Linked DNA regions of Yarrowia lipolytica. Each later gene encodes a partner of the first gene's protein in a complex. Links are inferred from orthologs where the notes say so. Each region holds a gene or a part of one and is shown on either strand. Other genes may lie near its edges. The genes, in order: YALI1_D33640g and YALI1_D26316g.

The links.
Region 2: YALI1_D33640g (region 1) and YALI1_D26316g share a complex: the UniProt entries of both Schizosaccharomyces pombe proteins name them as parts of the RSC complex. The link is inferred for Yarrowia lipolytica from reciprocal best matches to the Schizosaccharomyces pombe genes ssr3 and rsc1.

Annotation. Positions count from the first base shown.
Region 1 is NC_090773.1:3,359,646-3,367,945, reverse strand, and holds YALI1_D33640g (uncharacterized protein), read left to right. Parts: upstream 1-4,048; coding exon 4,049-5,206; downstream 5,207-8,300. Other genes in the region: YALI1_D33696g (uncharacterized protein), read left to right, coding at 1-489; YALI1_D33653g (uncharacterized protein), read right to left, coding at 1,848-2,741; YALI1_D33599g (uncharacterized protein), read left to right, coding at 8,135-8,300. UniProt on the Schizosaccharomyces pombe protein: Component of the chromatin structure remodeling complex (RSC), which is involved in transcription regulation and nucleosome positioning. Controls particularly membrane and organelle development genes.
Region 2 is NC_090773.1:2,626,343-2,635,574, reverse strand, and holds YALI1_D26316g (uncharacterized protein), read left to right. Parts: upstream 1-3,984; coding exon 3,985-6,264; downstream 6,265-9,232. Other genes in the region: YALI1_D26360g (uncharacterized protein), read left to right, coding at 1-952; YALI1_D26320g (uncharacterized protein), read right to left, coding at 2,668-3,579; YALI1_D26263g (uncharacterized protein), read right to left, coding at 7,995-9,232. UniProt on the Schizosaccharomyces pombe protein: Component of the chromatin structure remodeling complex (RSC), which is involved in transcription regulation and nucleosome positioning. Controls particularly membrane and organelle development genes.

The DNA.
Region 1 (8,300 bases):
GACATGAATCTGCCTGACTCCGTCTCTTCCTCCATTGCAGAAGAAGCCATGCTCTTGTACGTCAAGACACTGTCTCTGCTGTCGCTCGCTATGGATCAAGCCGGAGCCTGGTGGTCCAATAACCACAAAGACAACAAGATGGTGTCTTCCCACTTCAATGAAATCATTCAGTGGACCCGAAGCGCTTTCAACGAGTCACTGGAGCGGGCCGAAACGGTGAAAAAGAAGGTCTCCTCAGGAACTACACACACCACGGCCGAAAAGTTGATTTTCGACCGCGCCCTGGAAATGTCACGGGACGCAGCTGTTCAGGAGATCTCCGGCGACTTCACTGGCTGCGAGTCGGCCTACACCACGTCCATTTGGATGCTGGAGGCGCTTCTGGAGGATGACGAAGATGGACTTGGCGAGGAGGATCGCAGAATTGTGGAGCGGTTCATTAGTAGTATTACTAAACGGTTGGTGATACTGAGGGGTCAGCAGGAGTAATTAGTTCTATGTGGGGGCTGCGAAGACATTGGTAGCAGTGACGTCAGTGGTGACAGAGACGACAATGGTAGCAGCGCCGACAGTGGTAGCAACAGCGCCGGCAACGGCAACACGACAAACTAACATAGGTATATTTATAGTGACTAACAGATTTGAGTTGACATATTCGGACGTATGGAGCAGGAGGTGGGCTGATTTGATGTTTTGAGATTGCCAGAAAACTGCTTTGGTGAGGCCAAATTAAAACTCTTGTATGGTGGAAGTTGTTGGTCATGTTTTTCTTTTTTTCTTTTTGAAGAATCTTGACTATCAAATACCCGTTGAAATTTCTTTTTGATTTTTGATTTTTGATTTATTTTTGATTTTTGATTTATTTTTTTTTTTTTATTTTTTATTTATTTCATTTATTTACATTTATTTACATTTATTTACATTTTTTTACATTTAATTTACATTTTATTTATTCATATTTATTCATATTTATTCATATTTATTCATATTTAATTCATATTTTATTTATATTTATTTATATTTTTTTATATTTATTATTTTATTTATTTATTTTTGATTTACGGACATGTGGCATCCTCATTCTGCTTATATTGGGATTTGAGACGGGAATCAGGATATGATGGATAGGAGTTGGCAATAAACTAATTATACGGAATTGATTCTCTTGACGCAATTATTTGATTCCCGTTGTATTTGTTTTATTCCGATATATATCCATCAGTCTAGAACGACATGTATTCTCCACCCCCTTCAACATAAAATGTAAGTCGAGAGTTGCACAAGTGAGAAGGTGGTTTGTGTAAACATGAGCTTTTGTGGACATGTATTTCACCGATTAAACTTGGATTATTTTGGTCGGTGAAGTATTCGGGATTTCAGATCAGATGAAATCTTTCTGGTTTGTTATGAGGCTTCATGCTAGTTGAACTACAATTATATAGTTGAGAGTCTAGTTAACCCAAGTATAGTCTCATGGATTTCGGTTCGAGAAGATAATTCCATTCCTGAAACAATTCAGAATAGTATAACCCACATCTTCTCTCAGAATCAACATGGCAAAACCGTCATACCACTGCTGAACATGCCTGCTCCCACAATCCAAGCACGTGAAAGTGTTGCTGTTCGAATTTCCACCTCCGGTTATTCATTCCTCAACTATACCCTAACAAAACCAACTCTTTTGGTTGGTACCCCAAACAGATTTTTGTTCTCGGAAGCCTTGTGCACCCTTGTACAATTGGTTCGGATAGAACAGGATCTGTTCTGTTTGTTGTTGACTACTACGATTCGGATTATTGCATCACTGCAAGACCTTGTAATACTACTGGGTACTCCACTAACATTCCTCATCTGCCCAACTCGGTCAACTTCTCGAAAGCCAGGGCAAAATGGTCCCGCCACAGCTCCTCAGATACGGCGTACTGATCGACCCAGAAACGGAAATTGGCATCCTCAATCAGACTCATGTCCGAGGGCATCATCACCTGACCGGTGCTGTTGACGTACTGCTTCCGTCCAGTAGGCGAGTCCACCAGAGTCCAAACGTTGCCTAACAACAACTTGTAGAACTCGTTGTCACACTTGGCTGGATTAGAAGTCCACGGACCATCGAAGCCGGACCGATGAGGGTGCAATCGGCCTAGCGAATGAGCACCAATCAAAGCGACTGTTTCCTGGTCGTTAAACCCCATTCGGGAGAAGATAGTCCGCACGTGGGACGCATCTCCCCCGCCCAAGGGTAGACGGCCGTTCGGGGGCACCAGAAGGTCGTCCTCGTAGTCAACTCGGCCATCGCGCCACTTAATTGAGGGACCTTTGCACGCCTCAATTGAGACCACGCCGGCAAGAATCCATAGGTCCGCGTACGTGATCCAGGGGTGTTTGCGCTTGATGGGTTCTAGAGACAAACGGGCCACTTCAAGCCCCACGTTGCCCTCATCGCTGGCTTCAAGATGGTACCGCATGGTCGCACCATTGGACCCTCCCGTGCGTGTGTACTTGTCATAGGTGGCGCAAGAATGCCACGCCAGACGGATCAGCAGAGGGGCAAGAGTGCCGTCCTTAAACACGGTAGTGTTCTTCTGAGGAAGAATATTGTGGAGATCTGCCCGCACAAGATTGTAGTTTTTATTCCGAACAGACACCGCCAGTCGGGCAGACTCGCGAAACTGCACTCGTAAGTAGGCCGAATAGATGATGAATACCCGATGTTTCTGCTCGGACACACTGGGGTAGTTCATGCCGGGGAGATGTGAAGTTAAGTGGTGGTAGAGTGTTTCTGACGTGAAAGTTGTCGGTCAGAAGTCTGAAGTATCCTGCTATATAGAACTTCTCTGTGCCAGGTATCAAGAGACGGAGGAGGTATGTCTGGATGGGGGCTTGAAGCTATGGTAAGCCCTTGAGAAGATGAACAGAGGCAAGTGTGGGTTACGTCTTGAATGTCGTAGGAGGAGTCTCTGAGCGGTATCTGAGGTGTGCTGAGAAGGTGTATCACAGGTAGAGAATTAGAGCTGATGAAATAATGCTCGGGTTTCCTCTGGAATCAAAGACGTTTGTAAACTGGTATCACGTAAGTTATGTCGCTGGGTGAACAAAGTCGTTTTGGTCTTTGTGGCTACCGTAGGTATCTAATAAATACTCAGGCAGAGAACGGTATGTGTCACAGACTTCCGATGGTATCAGACGGTCTGTCGTAAGTTCAGTCCAGTACAGTAGTGAGTTTTCAAGATGTTGGAGCTGTTAGAGCTTTTGGATCTTTGTCAGAGATAGAGCACTTCTATCCGGTACTAGGCAGGTGACGGTGTGTGCTATTGTAGAAGTTGTTGCGACTGGAGCGACGATTGTGTCTAGGATTGGAAAAACAGCTGTATCGCTGATGGAAGGTTGAACTGCTGGCTGTTGAAGTTGGAGTAGAAGTTGGAGTAGGATAAAGTGATGATGGAGAAGAAGAGTTGAAATGAGACCCAAGTATCGAAATAAGGTGAAGAGAGGGGCGGTGAGGGGTGGTGAGGTGCAAAGGTGAGTTGCAGGATTATTTAGCGAGAATATAGACAACAGCACTGCGACTAAATCTCGTGATGTTTTTTTTGTAACTCTGCGATTCTGTTTGTGTCCAGAAACACGAAGTCTGGATCAAAAAAAAAAAAATCTCAAAGACATCCCGACCGCCGTTTCTTACTGGATCTGAAGCTCATCTCCTGTTTGTGGTTTCATGAAGATGTCTAATTTTAATGAATTTTTAATATTTTTAATATTAAAGATTTTAAATTGAGTTTTAATGTTGTTTTTTTTGAGAAATACAATTAATCTTGAATATATTGGTTTTGTGTCACTTGCCTAAATCTACATATAGCACCGTGTCCCCGTCCCTGTTCCCTTTATCATCCCTGTTTCTTATCTCCGCCCTTTCGTTACCACCGCCCTCTGTTCGTCACCACCGCTTAGTCACAAACTTTCTGCACCTAATTCCCACCTCCCAATTCCATCACCACCAACACACACATCTGTTGTTCACCACATAACAGATATCGCACTTCCAGCCAGTCACATGAACGCAATCGACAAACACTACACACAAAAGCCGACGGACAAGAATCTGTCGGCCAAATTCGACTCGATTCTGCCGGATACAGCGGTGTACCGGAAACTACAGGACCTCGAACGACGCATGGACGCGACCTTCACACGCAAGCGGCTGGACCTCGGCGACCTGCAGGCTCGTATGCTCAAGCAGAAGAAGACGTTGCGGCTGTTTGTTTCCAACACTGCGGCGCACCAGGCGTGGCAGATCGACCCGGACAACATGGGTGACTTCCAGCCCCCGTCGTGGACGCTCAACATTGAGGGAAACGTGGAGGGCGAGGACAAGCCGTTCTCTTCGTATTTTACTAGTATCTCCGTCGAGGTCAACGGCGAGATTGTTGAGTGGCATGAACCCCAGGGCGAGCGACCTGCGCCCACAGAGGAGCTGGCTGGCGACGTGACGGGCAAGGATGTAGGCTTCGACGTGTTCAAAATGACACGTGAGGGCTCGGGCCAGATCCCTGCGCGAATCGTGCTCCAACTCAAGGAGTACCCCGATCGAGCGCGTCTGTCGGAACCTCTGTCGGAAATTTTGGCGCTGGACGAGGCCTCCAAGTCGGACATCATCCTTGCTCTGTGGCAGTACATCAAGTTCCACGATCTGCAGCAGACCGAGGAGAAGCGAAACATCAAGTGTGATGAGCCGCTGAGACAGCTGTTTGGACGTAACACTGTAACTTTCCCGGAAATTATGGAGCTGATCACGCCCCATCTTCTACCCAAAGAACCCCTGGTCATCAACTACACCATTGACACAGACGTGGAGAACAACCTGGGCGAAACCGTGTTTGATTTGGCACTCGAGTTTGACGACGACATCAACGCTGAGATTGGAAAGATCACCAAGCACTGGTTCGACAACCAGGAGGATATTTTCAAGTTGGATGAGCACATCGCGCTGATTATTCAGCAGCTCAACAACACCAGACTGAAGAGGGAGTTCTTCAAGCAGTTTGCTGCCAACCCGTCGGACTTTCTGTCCAAATGGAACTCGTCACAGGCACGTGACCTCAAGTTGCTGTCTGGCGACCGAGGTTTCAACGAAGAGGAGGTCCGAAAGTCGTCCTTTTACACAGACGAGTTCATGGGCGAGTCTGCTCATCTGTTGTTGGCCCGACGGTAAAACACGGTGTTTAGGATTGTATTAATGGAAATAAATGTATTATATGGCTATAAGGAGTAAAGGAGTTGGTCGATTAATCAGTTGCAGGAGGACTGTTTTTTGCGGCCATACAGAGGTCATAGCAATGGTTCTGAGTGGAGAAGATGTGTTGAACCAGCCTGCTTTAAGAGCTGTCTAACGCCGGTGAAACGAACCGTCTGTCTAATAACGGTGGTTAGCTGAGTCTTTCGCTTTTGTGAGGTGGACAGCACACGTTTTTCACTCCAACCCAGGTCCACAAGTGTCATACTGCATGTTTTGATGGTGTCCCTGACAGGCGCTGCTTTTCGATGGCGGGTCAGTTGTTTCACTCGTCTGTGGGATAGGGTATTCAGGTTGTCAGAGAATGTAGCTCGATGGGAATCTGCGATGATACAAGAACCAAACTGGAGTTTAGCTGTGGTATCACGGGGGTGATGACGATTGACGATTTGACACGGCTGGGACAAGACCTTGATCGCAGTCCAACCAGAGCTCAGTTGTGGTGTTAGTCAACATGAAGACGAAATGATGTCACAGATGATATCTCTGGCACAGATACCTGTTCACAGTCACTGTCCCGCACGGGTCAGGCTTACAGTCGCCATCTTGCACACATGTCATACCCATAGCCATGATCTCACGCAAAGGTCGTGCCACTAGTACCTCTCTCATGGCTTCAGTCCACCCTGCGACACCATCCGCCCCGGCTCTGGCGACAGTATGAAACGAACTGAGCATGATCGAGTGAATGTTCAGGAGAAGGGACGTCTGAGAGGAGGACTGGAGCCGAGTACCTATTCATGTCCGCGTCTGAGGGTGGGTGCTCTTGGAGCTATGTAGCGGTATCTGTTTGTGTCTGAGGTGTATCCCTGGAAGCAGGCGATGACGTGGCGGCGTCTGTCGATGATTTTGTCATCAAATGATGCATATTATCGTCGCCCAAACCGTCAGTGGTTGAACTGTGGGCAAAACCATTGCTCAAATCGTCGGCGAAATCGTTCCGGTGGTTCTGTGGTATCTCTGTTTGGATCTCTGTTCATGTCTGTGTCTGAGTGATGTGGTAGAGTAGAGAAGAGTTTGACACTCTCCTTTCATTTGCGGCGGTTATTCCCCAGGAGATTTGGCCGTCCAATATTATTCTCAGGCATGTAATCATAACCAATAAATTATATAAAACAAATAAAACAAATAAAAATAAAATAAAAATAAAAATAAAAAAAAATTAAAAATAAAAATAAAAATAAAATAAAAATAAAAATCAATATCAAAATCAAAATAAAAATAAAAATCAAAATCAAATCAAAATCAAAATCAAAATCAAAATCAAAATCAAAATCAAAATCAAATCAAATCAAATCAAATCAAATCAAATCAAAACATCCGTTCCGCTAGACTACAAGTACCGCTTCAAAAAACCCTACCTCGGTCACTGGTACGATCCACTCTACCAACTGAAACACACCTTTCGATGAAGACAAAGGCCCAACTCCAGTCTCAACAAAACACCCTTTATCCTCCATCGGCCGAGTCGGCTCGGAGTCGGAAAAAAAATTGTGTTCGAAAATGAAAGGACAAGGACTCATACCAACAGACAATCAGCAAGTATCGAACAGGTACAACCAGCAGCTATGCACAAATATCCGATCCGGAACTTTGTCGACGGATAATTCCAATACCGCACTACAAGTAGGAGACTGATGTAGTATGTACATACTTGTACGACTCTTTTCCTCATAGTTTGGTATCAGAAACGAGCGCCCAATAGATGACGTCACGTGACATATTCTGGTTCCAAGCCGCCAACAAAGAGCAACGCTTGGTTCAAAAGGAACGACGGAGCAATTCCCAGAGTTTGGATGTATGTACTTGTGGTATGGTTCAACCCCCCCCCCCACGCCGCCCTCCTGAGGTTGAGTGTAGGATGCTCCACTTTCGACGGTTAAAAAGGCGTTCAAAACAACGTTCAAAACAACGTCAATAGCTGTCTGTCTACTCAATTGATATTTGTGGTCTTTTTTTCGTCCTTCTCCACTCGCTCTAATGTATTTCGTACCATGTTCTTCACCTCCTTCCTCCGGCTCCACTCCGACCGGAACAAACATCCGACTTTATGTATAGAGTTGGGTAAGGAAAGGGTGATTTGGTCTGTGATAGTGAGATACTATATTCTTACAGATTGCCGTGGCTTGAGAAACTTGAAGGGCAGGGTTGGTAACTTGGTGCGTTGTTTTTATCTTTTTTTTCTCTTTTTTTTCCGCTTTTTTTCCCTTTTCTTTGTATTTTCCGTTTTTCATTTATTTATTTTATTTTATGTTATTTTATTTAATCTACATCCATCGATTACCACTCTTCAGCTGAGTCGAAACTTGCCACAATGTGGCCTCCACAAATAACCCAATCCCGCCTACAAAATAACCGTGCATTGCACCACTCCAGACTGCACCATGCCCCATACTGACATACGGCGTAACAGCACATCACACTTTTGAGGCAATTGTGAGCCGCCGAAAAAGCGGGGTTCGGAAAAATTGGGGAGAAAATGCAACAAATCAATGGCCATCTGCACCATATGCTCCGTATGCACAAAACGTGCACCAGACTTGCACCAGACATGCATCCAGTCTTACCCCGTTACGTAAGTCTGCATATTGACGCATTGCATTGCACTGCACCACTCCGTACCCCACTTTAGAGAACCTAAAATATCTAGCCACCGTATTTCGCTCGTCGTGACTGGTTACCAACACTTCCTCCTCACAACTCTGCGCCCAAAAACATGAACTTCGCCACCCGACAATTCTCCTCCAGTGCTCTGGCGGCAGCCAAACGGCTGCCCTCGTTCGCAGGCATTCCGTCGGTGGACATGAAGAAATATACACAGGACCTGGGTGAGTATCGTAGCAGCGCATGGGTGCACAGGCACCAGATGGAAGAGACGGACAAGAGAGAAAAAGAAAGAGCAAGAGATGGACAGCGCGAGCGAAAGCAAGACCAAGCGTCGATTTTGCGGTTTTGTGGTTTTGTGGTTTTGTGGTTTGGGGTTTAATGCGGAGATTGCGGTTGGTGGCGACTC
Region 2 (9,232 bases), about 730 kb from region 1:
CCCCGGCATCACCATTGACGAGAAGAAGATTGTTTCCTCCACTGGTGCCCTTGCCCTCGAGGCCGTCCCCAAGAAGATGGTCATCATCGGAGGAGGTATCATTGGTCTCGAGATGGGCTCCGTCTGGTCCCGACTCGGCTCCGAGGTGACTGTTGTCGAGTTCCAGAACGCCATTGGCGCTGGTATGGACGACGAGATCGCCAAGGCCGCCCAGAAGATGCTCACCAAGCAGGGTATCAAGTTCAAGCTTGGCACCAAGGTGCTTTCCGGTGCCATTGAGGGCGACGGTGTCAAGGTCGAGGTCGAGAACGTCAAGAAGGGCGACAAGGAGACCCTTGATGCCGACGTTCTGCTCGTTGCCATTGGCCGACGACCCTACTCCGAGGGCTTGAACCTCGAGGCTGCCGGTGTCGAGAAGGACGACAAGGGCCGAATCATCATCGACCAGGAGTACCGAACCAACAAGTCCAACATCCGATGCATTGGTGACGTCACTTTCGGCCCCATGCTGGCCCACAAGGCCGAGGAGGAGGGAGTTGCTACCGCTGAGTACATTGCCACCGGTCACGGCCACGTTAACTACGCCGCCATCCCCTCTGTCATGTACACCCACCCTGAGGTTGCTTGGGTTGGACAGACTGAGCAGCAGGTCAAGGAGGCCGGCATCAAGTACAACGTCGGCAAGTTCCCCTTTGCCGCCAACTCTCGAGCCAAGACCAACCTCGACACCGAGGGTACCGTCAAGTTCATTGCTGACAAGGAGACTGACCGAATTCTCGGTATCCACATCATTGGCCCCAACGCCGGTGAGATGATCGCCGAGGGTGTTCTTGCCCTTGAGTACGGTGCTTCTTGCGAGGACATTGCTCGAACCTGCCACGCCCACCCCACTCTCTCCGAGGCTTTCAAGGAGGCCGCCATGGCCACTTACGACAAGGCCATCCACTTTTAAGCGCTTTTAGTGGTGCTTTTAGTAGTAGATAATAATGACTGAACTGTATGGTAGCGAGTGGCCAGGTCAGGTCGCAAGCCAACTTGTAGAGTACATGGCCGTAGGTGACGGGCGAACTAGAGCAAGTACAAGTAGATTTCATTTGGTCGTAGATCACAAAGTGCCAACTGGTAAAGCCGAAATGTTCTTGGATCAAGAGCTGATCTGGGGTGCACTATCAAGGTGTGTGAATGTCTAAAGAAACGGCTGAAGAAGTGCTTCCACTGATACTCCTCCGCGAAGTACGAATTCCAGCTGCACGAGTGTATAGTATCTTACTGTACATGTAGAACAGACGGCAGTCATATCGGATCAAGCATGACACAGTTAGGTGGAAGAAGCAACGAGGCATGATTGTGTTGTGTCTGAGTGTCAATGGGTTTGTCTTTGCTGCTTGTAGTGGATCATTAGACCAGTTGATCTGAGTTTGCGATTATCTTTCATGAATGGTGTTACTTGATATCTCTTCGCACCGTAGCTCTACACATCACAGTGTACATAGATGGACACTCGGAAATGTTGATAGCGCGACCGGAAAATTAGTAATACGATATGTTGCTGAAATGCTAGTAGGACTATAGACGGGTGTTATGGCATGTGTTGCAATAATGTACAGTACCTCTTTTCCGTCAAATGATCTCGTTTCCATCAATTGATCTCGTTTCCGTCAACTGCCCTTTTTCCCTCAAATCATCTCGTTTCCATCCCCTTCCGTTGCCTTGAATGACCATATTACATGCTGTTACAGTTCGGAGAAACCCGGAAGAAATGAAATTGCACTAGGAGCAAAAAAATTGCTGATATGCATGCAGTCCACGACGTGCATGCATAAAGTCTTTATGCAGTACATACTGTATATCGTGAATCAAGCCAGATGCAGGAATGTATCCTGTTATAGGACCAGCGTGGGGAGCAAAAAGTGATTTCTGGCAGGATCGAACTGCCGACGTTCTGCGTGTTAAGCAGATGCCATGACCAACTAGACCAAGAAACCCGGAATTATGTTAAAAAATGGCAGTGTTCGTCCATATCTGAAAACTGTTCCAAACCGGCGAATCATTAGAATAAAAAGAATCATTAGAATAAATTAAAAAAGCGCGAATGGACCAGCAAACACGAATATCATGCGCTCTTCTAAACAACCGAATCCGAATCCGATTTGCAGGTATAACACTGTTTTTAGGCCTCAAGTAGTTGTTGAAATGTAATTCCGTAAAATAAAAAAATAAAAAAATAAAAAAAATAAAAAAATGGGACAATATCTCAAGAAATTTTGAATGGTTTAAATAAGGCGTATTCCAGATGAAAACAAGATGAAAAAAGAATATAAAACTTCATTCGGTGATCTTCAAAATGTCTTCTGTTGTCCATCATCTATTTCGTGATACATTCCATCCTCCACTTGGTCAAAGCGTTGTGTGAGGTAAGGATTGCTGGTACTCCACATGCCGATATAGAATAAATGCAGAAGTAGTTATCTCTCGCACGGACAAGTAGTTGGATCAACTTCTTCAACTTCCCTGGTTCCTCGTGATCACTCTATTTCTATCTCTTAACAGTAACGCCGCTTGTAACATGGCTACAAGACCCTAGACTACATAGTTCATACGCCCTAAAAATACTCATAAATAATGCAATTTAACACTAAACTTGGTCCACAAGTTCCCGTTTCCAGTCTAACTTCTTCTCTTCATAAAGGCCCGCCCAATAACAGGTTCCAGAGCCTTTGGCAACCACTCGGAGGCGTTGCCCTTGAAGGCCCATCCCTCAATCACAGCGTCTTCGTTGCTGCTATCTTCGGAGTCCGTGGTTTCGGCCTCACTTTCTCCATACTGGTAGTGGTCAATCTCCATGTTGAAGATGGCCACCTTACCTCCGCTGAGGGCCACTCGCTCCACGTAGCCAGCAGCGGGCCACACGCTTCCCGATGTGCCGACTACGATAATCAAATCCACGTCTTCGTCCTCGAGAAACTCATCGGCAGTGTTCATGACCTTGAACGGCAACGATTCTCCAAACCACACCACTCCGGGTCTCAGCAGACCCTCTTTGCACTGAGGACATGTGGGCAGATCTTCGACGGGTATTCGGTGGCGCTGCAGCTGTGCCGAGTTGTAGTTGTCGGTGATACTTAGTGCCGGCGTTAGTGGGTCTGCAAAGTTGTCTTCGGTGGTGTATGAACAGAAGAAGGACGTGCATTTGAGAGCAAACAGGTCTCCATGAAGCTTCAAAAGTGCTTCTTGGGGATGCTCTGCGCGCGACGAGAGACCGTCAACGTTCTGCGTAAGTGTCAGAAACCGTCCGCGCAGTCTTCGGGCCAGTTCAGCCAGAGCATAGTGTCCCGGGTTGGGCTTGGCCTTCAAAGACATGTGTCTTCGGTGGGCGTAAAACTGCCATACCGTGGAGGGATCGTTGTGGAATGCCTCGGGCGTGGCAAGTTCAGCTGCGTCGTAGTTGCGCCAGATGCCTCCTTCTCCTCTAAAAGTAGGGAGGCCTGACGACTGAGAGAGGCCCGCGCCAACAAGAGCCAGGATCTTGCGGGACGACAAAAGATGTTTCTGGAACGATTCCAGGTCTGAAGAAAGCATGAGTCGAGATATTCTGAACACGGCTGATTTTTAATAAACTCGTACTGGCACGCTCTTTTGTGTCGGTTGTTCCGTGTGCTACCACTACTTGTAGTGGTGATGGTGATGTCTTACATGACTCCTCATGCATGAAATTTAAACCTGCGTAACATGTGTGGGGTGGAAAACACGGAGCAGACTATGAGAAACTGTTATAAGCCCGGTAAAAGATGCAACAAAGAGCCCCTGTTGCCAGGTTTTTTCTCAAGCTCCAAAATTTGCATTTCTGATGCCATTACAAATACCCGTTTAATACGACCCTTGCGTGGATCGAACACACGCTCCCAATCACACCCCATAGTTAGGCTCCCTTCTCCCAACCTTCAAACCTACAGTCGACACTTCGCGTAGACAACCTCCACCAACATGAATCAATCAATCGCGGACGCGATCGAAACGGCCCGGCCCGCGGTGATGAAGGCCGCCGCGGCCAACGCGCCCATTTCGGACCTGATTTCGCCGCTGTTTGACGGCATCTACACGATCGACAACGACATTGACAACAACAAGGTGTTTGAGGTGTTCCACTCGTTGCCGGACCGAAGTCTCACAACCTACTACAAGGTCATCAAGCGGCCTCTGTCGCTGACACAGATCAAGCGGTCGATGCCGCGGTACCGAAACGTGCAGAACTTCATTCACGACCTCGCCCAGATTACCTACAATGCTCGGCTGTTCAACATGAAGGGTTCCGGAATCTACAACGATGCAGTGTTTCTGGACGGCTACCTGAACAAGGCTATTGAGGTACTTCGAGAGACCAACAAGTTTTCCAACGATGACCTCACCTATCCTGTTATTGGTCCTCTTCCTGAGGGTTCCGATGTGGAGATGGAGTTTGGGTCCGATTCTTCCGAGGATGACTTGAGTGACGACTCGGACGATGACGACGTCGATGGACGACGGAAATCGAGACGAAAGTCTGTGCGAACACGAAAGAAGATGGACTCGGACTCGCAGCGAAGCCGTATGGATGACATGCCCCGAAAGCGAGGCCGGCCACCTATCGTTGATAAACCGCACGAATACCGAATCAAGGCCATCTTACGGGGCGTTCGAAAGGCCCGTGACGAACAGGGACTGGTGCGGTCATTCCCTTTCGAAAAGCTGCCTGAAAAGAGAGACTACCCGGAGTACTATCAGGAGATTGCCAAGCCCATCGCTCTGGACAACATCAAGAAGAACATCAAGCGACGCAAGTACGACACTGTGGAGGCGTTTCTCAATGATATGAACCTTATGTTTTCCAACGCGCGGCAGTTCAACGTGGAGGGTTCTCAGATTTACAACGACGCCATGATTCTGCAGCAAGAAATGATGTTGCTGGCCGACGAGGAGATGCGAAAACCTGACTCTACATACCAGGATCTGGCCTCGCGAAACAACAACAAAACATCACGCCTTCCCCTGGACAGTGTCCAGCATCGAGGTGACATCTACCGAGTGGGTGACTGGGTTCATATTCACAACATGAATGATCCCTCCAAACCCACCATTGGCCAAATCTTCCGAATCTGGCAGGCTCCCGACGGTCAGAAGTGGGTCAATGCATGCTGGTACTACCGGCCCGAACAGACCGTTCATCGAGTAGACAAGGTCTTCTACGAGAACGAGGTGGTCAAATCGGGCCAGTACAGAGACCATCTGGTGGACGAGATTCTGGAAAAGTGTTTTGTCATGTTCTTCACACGGTACCAGCGAGGTCGGCCCCAGGGCATTGGTGACAGAAAGGTGTACCTGTGTGAATCCCGATACAACGAGGTGGAAAAGACCTTTAACAAGATCCGAACTTGGAAGGCGTGTATCCCCGACGAGGTAGACTCTCAGGATTACGCCATGGACCTGTTTGAAAAGGTTCAGCCTCTGAGACGACTGCCCTCTCCCATCAAACACACTCTTGCTCCTGGAGCTCGAGAAGACGATCCTGTTCCTGAGGCGACCCTGGGCGTGGAGAATGCTCCTCCTGTTGTTGGAGCTGTTTATCGACGTCCTTTCGACCCCGCTGACCCCCCGGAGGAACCCACTCCTGCTGACGAGTACATAGAGCCTCCTCAGTTCCAGCGAACGAACAACACTGGTGACTACGCTTCCCCTCAGCCTCATGGAATGGGGGCCAAGCCTGCTTCTGGCCACCTGGCTCCTCGACCTGCTCCAGAACAGCCCGCTGTTCGAACTGTGGTTCCTGGGACCAACTCTGCCCTGCCACCTCATTACACCCCTGCTCCTCTGCAGCACATTCAGATGCAGGGTCCTGTTCCTGTACATGCGCAGCCTATTGGGCCTGTTGGCGAGCAGCAGATCTTTCAGGTGGTGGGTCCCCCCGTCAACTTCACGCTTCCTGAAGCTGTGCAGCAGCAGCTGAGTGCAGGATATGAGCTGGATCCCGAGACGAACGAGCCGTCCAAGGTTGCTCGATGGCCTACTAAAGAGAAAACCATGGCTGTGCAGTGGTTCATTTCGCCGCCTGTGCACTGCCCCGACACTTTTGAGCCCTGCAAAGACACGCACATGTACGGAAAGCTCAAGCTGTCCAAGTATGGAGAGCCTCCGAAGAAGATGCGTATTGTGCGAGTCGGGCACAGTGCAAAGTACTTGGCTTTCAAAGCCAAGAGGGCCGCAGAGAGTGCCAAGGGGGGTGCGAAGTAGAGTATTGGTGGTGGTACCAAGACTAGGGGACGATAGTGTTTATATTGTAATTTTATGAGATTAACGGTTGGTGTGAGCGATGGTTGTTTGAGTCGACAGCAAGCACAATCTGATTTGATCAGCCGCTCTTCACACAATCTTGGGGGTGGTTTGGCGCAGTGAGAACATGAAGGCGAGAACTGGGACTTACTTGTACGAGTAGCATGAGATGAGTGCAAATAGCTGGTACAATATGATTGAGACCAGTTGCGAATTACTCTAGATGCTCAAGACCATGAGTACGGTAAGTATGAGTACAGCGCATACATACAGTATGGTCACAAGTACATACTGCACTGTACCGGTAGTGCTGCAGTAGTACAATCACAGGTATCGTAGTTCATCTCTTTTCTGACATAGATTGCTTGCCCACAGCTTTTGTGCTCGACTCGTAGCTACAAGTACGAGCTTCTCGGGTACAAGTCACTTAGCCTCGGCTACAAATACTGTACCGGTAGTTGAACTAATGCGTCCAATACTCTTACCAACGGTGATATTCCCGTTCAGGAATACTGGCTGGATGCGTGATATACAAATAGGAAGGACGGCCCTCGGACTAGCGTGGATCTTGCACGTATTTCCTCTAGCTCCGGTTACTAATCACTAGCTACAGCTCCTCTAGCTCCGTTTATGGAATGTTGTACAGTAGTACCAAGATAGTCGGTGCCATGGAACACTGGCGGAACCCAACCGGAATGCTGGATTGTCTCTACTATAAGCACCGTGTAGAAGACAGACATGTTTGATATCAACGGCGAGATGACTGCGTATAGCACCGGTTTCATGTAGGACGGGTTTTGTGATAACCGATCACCAACACTCATGGCTAAGATTACATTACCACGAGAACTCGTATGCACTGTACAGGAGAAGTCCTACGGTACGATACTGTACCATAATGGCTGTTAACGACAAAGTGCAGTGGTACAAGTATCGTACATAACTACAGTAGTTGTATTTGCAGTAGGAGATGCTCAAAGTGGCAACCACTCTCTTCATAAAGTGCTCGTAACACTCATTTTACACCAAACCAGCCCCCGAACCTCCGTGGCCCCTCGATCATTGATTCCGTACGTTCTCATTTATTTAATCTTACCCAGCTCAGCCAACTCCGTTTCAGCTCATAATAAACGACCTCGTCCTCTGCATCTGCACCTCACTGCACCTCACTGCACCTCACTTTGTACGATGCAGACTGCAGGAGTGTCGGAAATGAGACGCCAGAACGTCACACTTCAGACGTCAACAAGTGACACCCGGGCCATCAGAACTGTTTCCAGCCAATCGCAGCCAATACGAGGACGGTATTCCCGTTTCGGAGCCCCAGATATGCCAGTCCACCGCATTTCGCCAAGACCAACAACAGTCTAAACACGCTACTGCATATGTGGCTAAATACGGCGCAACATGACGGGACAGGCCACACCAAAATAGACGCATCTATGCGTTTTTTTTCGGTGGTTTCAGGGAGCGCAGTCTTGGTGGCTCGCTAGGCTGAGTTCTAGTACAAGACCTAACCATCAAGTACAGGTACTTGAGTGCTCGCTGGTTAAAACTACTTAATACAGAGAATGCATACTACTTGTACTCTCACATTAGATGGTTAAATTAATCTGTTACTTTGTTTGGTTTTTCTAGAGGTATCAATTAGCTAAATACATCGCTATCAACGGCTACTCAAAAAAAGAAGCTTAGTTGGAGAAAATACCCCAGTACTGCTCGGCGGCAAAGGCACCGGGAGACTTCCAGTAGTCGTTGAAGGCGGTGAAGAGGATACAGTCGTTGCCAATGGCGGACTTGAGGGACTGGATGGCCTTGTTCTGGTTGTCCTTGGAGGGAACGGCAACACCGTTGGTTCCTCCGGAAGAGGGCCAGCCGGACTCGGCAATCATGACCTCCTTCTTACCGTTGCAGGCAGTCCAGACTCGCTGGGTCTGCTGAACAGCCCACTCGCCGGCGTCCTCAGCCTTGATGTGACCATCGAAGAAGGCGTGGGCGTTGACAGCCATGTAGTCGGAGGCGTCACAGAGCTCGGGGTTGTTGATAACAGCAATGAAGGTGTCGACGGAGACGACGGGTCCCTGGTAGCCGTAGTTTCGCAGCTTCTGTCGAGAAGAGTTGGTGATCTGGTTCATGGCAGAGGCGGTCATGGCGCCGTTGTTGACGAGCTCGTTACCGATGGAGACGGTGTGGACAACGTCCCAGCCGCCGTGGGCCTTGACGGCATCGGAGATGGCCTTGAGGGAGTTGTCAACGTCGTTGACGTCAAAGACACCAGCAAAGATCTTCTGGTGGGGGGCAATGGCAGCCAGAACGTTGGGGACCTGGTTGCAGTCGGTACCGTAGATTCGGATCACCTCGTAGTTGGAGAGCTTGGCGAGGTCAGACTTCACAGCTCCGGCGTCCTTGCAGGTACCGTCAGAGTTGTAGGGAGAGTAGACCATACCGAGAGCTCCACCGGGGAAGGAGGAGTCGGACTGGGGGACACCCTGGGATCCGGAAGAGGAGGAAGAGGAAGAAGAGGCGGAAGACTTGGGGGCCTCGGAGGAAGAAGAGGGGGCAGCGGCAGCCTCCTCCTGCTTCTGGGTGGCAGAGGGAGAAGACTTAGGGGCAGCGGCAGAGGTGGACTGTCCGGCGGGCTCCCACATGTTGGACCACCAGGCGGCGAAAGAGCCTCCCTCCTTCTGCTCCTGAGCGGGGGCAGCGGCGGCGGCGGTGACCTTGGCCTCAACCTGGGCGGTGGGAGAAGGAGCCTGGGGGGCCTGGGTAGCGACCTGGACGGGGTTTCCGTTGGCGTCGACGGCATTTCCGTTGGCATCAACGTAGTTGGTGACCTGGACGAAGACGGTCTCAATGCCGGCCTCTCGCTTGTGCTGGTGGTGGGCGTGGTGGCCGACGATGGGCTGGGCGGTGGCGACGGCGGCCAGAG